Arabidopsis thaliana: one gene and its partner. The protein of the gene in region 2 interacts with the protein of the main gene of each other region in a pairwise test. Each region holds a gene or a part of one and is shown on either strand. Other genes may lie near its edges.

Region 1 (3,838 bases), on a different chromosome or scaffold from region 2:
ATAAGTAATTTGATTCGAGCAGTATCAGCACTGATCATTAACTATAATGTTAATCAATTTTTTTGTGTTAAACTGAACAGAAGTGTCATGGCTTCCACGGTCACTCTTTGTGGCGGGTGGACATCTTTTCATATGCAATGAAGACTTCAGGCAACTGAGTTTTCTGCCAACAGATGATGCTTCTTCATCCCCATATTTCTCACTTGACTCAAGCTGCTCCATCTCCGACATATTTGAGATGGTAACAAGTTTGTTTATTCTTTCCCTTTCTCTCGCTTATGTCAGTTTTTTATGTGCAAATTGGGGTGTTATCCAGGTTGTTGAATCAAGAGGAAGCTCGTGCTTGTCACTGAAGGTCAAGCAGAAGGATTCCACATTTCAAAGCAGCCAAAAGAGGACAGTGAATTCAGTAACATGGAAGCTCAAGTTACTCAGCCCTGAGTGTGTACCCAAATTTGTGGCTCTAGTAAATGGACTTCACCCAGATTCGACAGAATTCCCATTGTTCGTAAGGCATTTGGGTGAGAGATGAGCCGTAAATATTTAGAACTTGACATTTGTTCATAACTTCAAATTCATTTGATTCAATTTGTTCGTGAGTTTTGATTCATCTTGTATAAAGCCCTTGAGGGTCCTGTGGTGTGTCCAAAATATTCTTCGATTTGTATATTTTTAGTGTGTATCGTTCATACAACAAACAGCAAGGAAGAAGAAAGAAAATCAGATTAATATCTAGATTTTTACTTTGAAAGCCTGTGCTATTCTTCGTTTTACAAACTTTTGCAGGTGATGTAACAGTAACACAATGGAGGAACCTACTCAACCTTGGTCTTCTCTTCATCAACCTGTGCCATCAATGCCTCTAACTCTGCCTCCGATAAGCTCTCCAATCGTTTCTGCTCATTACCAACCAACCAAACCAAACTTATGTTAGGTAAAGTAGATAAACCCTGATAAAGAGATTAACGAAAAAGCAGAAACCTGCATGACTTGAGACTCGTAGTCACGAAGTTGCTGGGCATAAGTCATCTCCTTGTTACCGACTCTAAAGATATAAGTCGAAATCCAACCCAAAGTCAAACCAAGCACCAGTATCAGCTGTACTGCATTCCCCGCTTGCAACGGATCAACTCCCACATACTGCACCATATCATTATCACAAAATGAGTACTCAGAAGAACAAAGAAAAAGATAACAGATTCATTTGATATCATCAGTATGTAGATAATGAGAATTACCTCAAGTCCACTCTCTAGCCCGATACCAAGTGCAGTCACTCCCACTCCTATCAATATAACATCCTTCCTCGTGTAACCAAACGGCGTCGTCTATAACCAAATTATTTCACAACAGAGTTTGCTTCAGGACTACTACGACGATAGATTATGATGTAAATTCAAAGAGATGGAGTGCAGACCTTGGTTTTTGTAGCAGAATCGTCTTCAGTTTCAGTAGAGTTTGAGCTAACTCTACATCTCATTCTCTGTTTCTCTCCCTTTTCTACTGATGATGACAATCTATGTCCCTCGAATCTATATAAGACTTTCTTCGCAGCTCCGAATCCTGCATCATCACAACAAACACAGGAGAGTTTTACAATCGCTTCAGCTTGAAATCCTTAAGTTTTATCGAAAACGATTATTGGGGGAGAACAGAACCTGTGGTTTGTCGCCCAACCGGAAGAAGCCTTACAGACGCAGACAGAACCTCCTGATTTCTGCATAGATTCGAAACTCCGAACGGTAAAGAAGCCATTTCTGTGTTTAAGCCACAACACAAGCCGTGGTTACTAGTGAAAAAAATAATGAAACAAAAATTTAAGGGAGGACGAAGAGATTACAGAGATGGATGGTTGATATTTTTTGGGGCCCATAGGCTTTTGCTTCTTTAGTGGCGCGTGTTTCTCACCGCCCAAAAGACATGCGTGTAGACATAATTGCCATCAGAATTACTCAAATACACTAATTGCTCTTTTTTTCCAAGTTCATGTGAACAATGGGAGATTCATTCGCTGCACAATTCACAATTTCACAAATGGGCCAAATGTTTAGAAGATATGAAAAAATAAAGTAACTTTAATATAATGTAAACAGTTTGGTTTTATTATTCTCCCCCAAAGAGATAAAATTAAAATCACTCTTTTTCCAGCCCAGTGAATCAAATGAACCGGCCCTTTATTCCCATCATCTAACACCTAAAACGTCCATCTATAAACTCAAGCTGAAAACTCAAACAGCATCGTGTGATTGTACTTCTCACCAGCCTTAACCACAACAGACGGGAAATTCGACTGGTTAATCGCGTTCGGGAATCCCTGCGTCTCAAGGCACACACCCGCATGTTTCCCGTAAACCGCATTCCCTTTCCCAACCACTCCATTCACATAGTTCCCGGTATAAAACTGCATTCCCGGCACATTGGTCCACAAGTTCAGTACCCTTGAGCTAGCAGCATCACTGAGCTTCGCTGCGTGTTTCAGCCCCTCCTTCTCTTGATCAGGACAGTCCAACACGTAGTTATGATCGTATCCGATACCAACCTCTCCAATAGACTCGCCTATCCGCTTCTCCTCAGTGAAATCGAAAGGAGTTCCCTTTACAGGCAAGATCTCTCCTGTAGGAACTGTGTATTCGTCAACCGGCGTGATATGAGACCCCCATATCTGAATCTTATGGTCTAGAATGTTTCCTGAGTCATGACCTGCTAAGTTCCAGTATGTATGTTGAGCTAAGTTGATGGGAGTATCTTTGTTCTCTGGAACAGCTTCCATGTCAAGTCTCATTGTCGTGGCTGACGTGAGAGTGTATGTCGCCGTGACAGAAACCGCACCAGGGTAACCTGTGGAGGGGAACCGCAAAACATTATATAGCTAATCTAATCCCACAGAAATCAAATGCTAGAGAAAGGATATGTCATTACCTTCTTCTCCATCGGCACTGTGATATTTGAAAGTGATGAAAGGTTTTTCGCCGTCTCTCTTGTGCCCTGCAACTTCCCATATCTTCTTATCGAAACCCTTGTTACCACCTGTACAGATAGAGTAACATTTTACGGTCCAAATCCTATTTAGTTCACAGAAAGTTATAGAGAAAGTATACAGAGAAGAGAATTGTTTATACAGACCGTGGAGACTATTAGGAGGCTTGTTGATAGGCAAAGTGTAGTTAACTCCATTGAGACTGAATTTTCCCTCCTTGATCCGATTTGCCACACGACCAACAATGCACCCAAAGTATGGTGCAAGCCCTTTCTGTAACAATCATATTCATAGATAAAACACACATATTCATTAACATTGTTACAAAGTCCATCTTATTTTGATAGTTCATCACAAAGTCATTCAACAAGGTACATGAATGACCATATACATTTCTTAAATTATGATTCAGACTCTATTCATGAGATCCAGAGGCAGTGATTAGAGTTTCGATCAGATTGATTGAATCTATGTCGAGATCAGTTCAAGGATTAGGTGAATTCGAGAGAAATTACCACATATGGATCCACCGAGTCGAATCCGAGAACTACATCCCCCAGTTTCCCTTCAAATAAGAAAAACAAAGACGATAATCAGAGGATTAGGATTTGGAGACAAAACAGAGATCATCATTGAAAGGAGGAAGAAGAGAACAAACCGTTCTTGTCGGGAACAGACAAAGAGGTGATGGTGGTGCCGTAGTTTGAGATCTTGACCTGCATGGTGCCATTGTTGAGCTCGAAGATCTCTGGAGTGTTTTTGCTCTGATCCGCCATTAGAGGGCTCGAAGACTAAATTAAAGGCTTTAAGATTAGAAGCGAAGTGATTGGGATTGAGATTTTTGATTGGGGAGAAACAAAA
Region 2 (3,951 bases):
AGAACAATCAACATCAAGTTACTTTACCCTTTTTTCCTTTTCATAATCGATTAGTTAACCTAAGAAAAAAAAAAAAAACAAAAGAACTAGCCTTTCAATATATTTTTATTGACCAATTAGAATTGCCTCCCAGAATCTACAATTGTCTCAAAAAATCCAATATACATACATTATTGGACCTTTTGAATAACAGTCAAGAAGACCTTATCAAAATTGAACATTTTCACGTAGAAGATGTAAAAAAGATATTAGACATTCTAGAAAAAAAATAGAAAAAACATTTCAAAAAAAATTGACTAAGACTAAAAAGTCAATTTGAAATTGAAATGGATTTTCAAATTTCAACGTAATTTCTATTTTCCAGTCGAACCCATTTTAATTAATTAATTAAATTAATTAGAATTAGATATGTATCTAGGGAGAATTCATTTGGAAATGACTACTCCCTAGATACCTCCCTAGATACCCACGTCGTTTATTTTACAATTGAATAAATTGAATTAAAAAAGACCTAAAGTTAGAGATTTATCAATCGGTAATGTTGCTCCAATACCTAACCACAGGGCCGCCGCGGTGCCAATCAAAAAGACGGTTGTCGCTACTGGACGACGAAATGGATTTTGAAACTTATTAACATTTTCCAAAAAGGGTACGGTTAATAATCCCGCTGGTACTGAAACCATTAAAAGAACACCCAATAATTTGTTAGGCACTGTACGAAGTATTTGAAATACAGGAAAGAAATACCATTCAGGTAATATTTCCAAAGGAGTTGCAAAAGGATCCGCAGGTTCACCAATCATTGATGGTTCTAAAACCGCTAAGCCTACGTTACAGGCAATGGTACCAAGAATAACTACTGGAAAAATATATAAAAGGTCGTTGGGCCATGCGGGTTCCCCGTAATAATTGTGACCCATACCTTTAGCTAATTTAGCTCGTAATACAGGATCATTCAAATCTGGTTTTTTTGTTATTGGGATAGGTGAATTCTTATGGATCCATCCCCCGAGGGAACCGGACATGATAATTTTTTATCATCCGGCTCGAGCAAGAATTAACCAAACTAAATGAATACATACAAAAAATATAATTTAATATGTAAAAATTAATTATCCGATTCCAAAGTTATTGCAACTAAAGATTCAAGAAATTCCATTCTTACAGGTAAATGCTCAACACCCACGTAAGCTTAAAAAGTTTATCATGATTAAGTGCTTTCTGGGTCGTCTCATACCTTATAAATTCGTCCTTAATCTCAACAATTATATCGAGATTTTTCAAATACAAAGGATTTACTTGTTACTAATGGAGTCTACCCTCTACTCTTCATTAGATCCTGTATTCACTCCGATAGTATCATAAATCGAGTCGATGCAGAGAAAATGAATGCATTTACATACTATTACTATTAATAATTATTTTCTTTTTTTTTTTTAGTCCAAAATAACTAAAAACATAATCAGGATTTTGTTCCATCCCTTAATCTACTGGATTTTACGGAGCCCACTCATCCACGACAGCGTCGGGTACGATCATAGAAAAGATTCTCTTCAAGTGAACCAGCCTATCCCCTGTATGGGGCTTACACAGTGGTTGGAACAAAGACACATTTGGTTGTGAATTCCAATGTAGCAGATAAAGTAATATTTCTGCACGGCCCGATCAATAGTTCAAGTCACACACTCCCATAATCCATTATCTCTTCATAGAATTCCCTTCAACTTTTTATGTCAAAAAAATAATAAAATATTGTGGAGTTGAAGGGAAATATCCAAATACATGTTTTATTTTTTTAATAATCCATATTTATAGCAATAAAATACTATCGTTCCTTCACCAAGTAATAAGTAAGTACAAATACCTAGAATCTATATTATTTATAAGGGACCAGAAATACCTTGCTTACGTATCATTAGGAAATGCATTAACATAAAGACGGCCGTAAGAAGAGGTAATACAAAAGTGTGTAAACTATAAAAACGAGTCAAAGTGGATTGTCCAACACTAGCACTTCCGCGTAATAATTCTACAAGAGGTGATCCTATTACCGGAATAGCGTCAGGTACACCTGTTACAATTTTGACCGCCCAATAACCAATTTGATCCCAAGGTAAAGAATAACCTGTTACACCAAAAGATGCGGTCAATACACCCAGAACCACACCAGTAACCCAAGTTAATTCGCGAGGTTTTTTAAAACCACCGGTGAGGTATACACGAAATACGTGCAGGATCATCATTAGGACCATCATACTTGCCGACCATCGATGAACTGATCGGATTAACCAACCAAAGTTAGCTTCAGTCATTATATATTGAACAGAAGCAAAAGCTTCAGTAACGGTTGGACGGTAATAAAAAGTCATAGCAAATCCCGTAGCTACTTGTACTAAAAAACAAGTAAGGGTAATTCCGCCTAGACAATAAAATATGTTGACATGCGGAGGAACATATTTACTAGTTATATCATCTGCAATCGCCTGAATCTCAAGACGTTCTTCGAACCAATCATAAACTTTATTGAGATAGGTAAACCAAGGTTACTCCCCCTCCAAGAACTGTATATGAGAATTTCATCTCGTACAGCTCAAACAAAAAAAGACCCAAATACTGATTGAAACAGATATGGAATATAAAGTTTTAAACTTGTCTCTCATTCAATATTATTTTTTATTATTTAAAGATATGAAAGAGTCAAAATGCGAAAGCTCGTCTTTGTGGTTAAATGCCAAAAAATCAAGTAAGCTCATTCGTCTTTATGTTGTGTTGATCGTTACAGGCCTCTTGAATCTTCTAGATTACCTATCTTTATTGTCTTTTTTTATTTGGTATTTGTATGGAACGGGGACAGGGATTTCTTCTTGTTTTCTTTATTATTGATAGGAATTCTCTTGTTAAGACCCTACTTAACTAATCAATTGAAACCTCAGATTCATACGAGAACCACGATAATTTAATGAAACCTTCAAAGTCCAAAGTTCACTGAGTGAGAACCATTGGATCATCACTTATTCAATAAAAAAAAAGCTATAATGACTAAAAACATAAAATACAAAGAAGCGTTTGTCCTTTGATCCAAATAAGAGTTTAAAAGCAGAAAATTTTTTTGATTTATTAAAGTTTATAAGATAGAACGGAAAGAAGTCCGGCTACGAGGTTTGAGTATTTAAGTATGAATCATAGTTCGAATACTTTGTGATCTATTTGATCTATTTCGTGCTCCAGATACTCGAATGAATATCCGACGAAGTAAAACCATCTTGATAAAGATGACAGACCCCATTCTCTGTACTATCCATAGGGTCAATTCTAACAAGTCACACACTCATATTCCGGAAATATACAATGCAGAAAAAAATTTCGCGGTCGAACTACCAAAGGAGAATAGGCTAAAATTGTTAGACCTGCATACTTTACTTTTTTGTATCGAGCTAAAAGCTAGAACTTCAAGATTCTTCTCAGTCTAATTCACTGAAATTCCATCCAGTAGAACAGAAGAATTATAAATCTCCAAAATAATAGATAGGAATACCGCAAATAGAGCCATTGCAACACCCATCAAAGGGGTCGTTCCCCATCCGGGAGCTACTTTACCATATTCGGAATTCAATGGTTTCAATAACTTCCCTACAGTAGTGCTTCTTGGACCAGATCTAGAACTATCTTCAACAGTTTGTGTAGCCATAAATCTTATTTTGTATTCATTACGATCTGTTGACTTTGTATACCATTCCGTTGTAAATAAATGATCTTAGCATAGATCCGGTGTGGTCTTTCAATTCTATAATAATGGAAACAGCAACCCTAGTCGCCATCTTTATATCTGGGTTACTTGTAAGTTTTACTGGGTATGCTCTATATACTGCCTTTGGGCAACCCTCTCAACAACTAAGAGATCCATTCGAGGAACACGGGGACTAGTTAACGTAATCAGCCTCCAAATATTTG

Evidence for each region.
Region 1: the proteins of petD (region 2) and DAC interact in a two-hybrid assay, tested with the Arabidopsis thaliana proteins (one study listed by BioGRID).

What each region holds. Positions count from the first base shown.
Region 1 is NC_003074.8:6,141,492-6,145,329, forward strand, and holds DAC (uncharacterized protein), read right to left. Parts: upstream 1,820-3,838; 5' UTR 1,756-1,819; coding exon 1,659-1,755; intron 1,564-1,658; coding exon 1,418-1,563; intron 1,329-1,417; coding exon 1,239-1,328; intron 1,141-1,238; coding exon 982-1,140; intron 897-981; coding exon 816-896; 3' UTR 634-815; downstream 1-633. Other genes in the region: AT3G17920 (Outer arm dynein light chain 1 protein), read left to right, coding at 81-241, 317-532; AT3G17940 (Galactose mutarotase-like superfamily protein), read right to left, coding at 2,216-2,838, 2,920-3,027, 3,124-3,250, 3,493-3,542, 3,636-3,753.
Region 2 is NC_000932.1:74,222-78,172, reverse strand, and holds petD (cytochrome b6/f complex subunit IV), read right to left. Parts: upstream 1,693-3,951; coding exon 1,685-1,692; intron 976-1,684; coding exon 501-975; downstream 1-500. Other genes in the region: rpoA (RNA polymerase alpha subunit), read left to right, coding at 1-272; petB (cytochrome b6), read right to left, coding at 1,881-2,522, 3,327-3,332; psbH (photosystem II protein H), read right to left, coding at 3,467-3,688; psbN (photosystem II protein N), read left to right, coding at 3,793-3,924. UniProt on the Arabidopsis thaliana protein: Component of the cytochrome b6-f complex, which mediates electron transfer between photosystem II (PSII) and photosystem I (PSI), cyclic electron flow around PSI, and state transitions.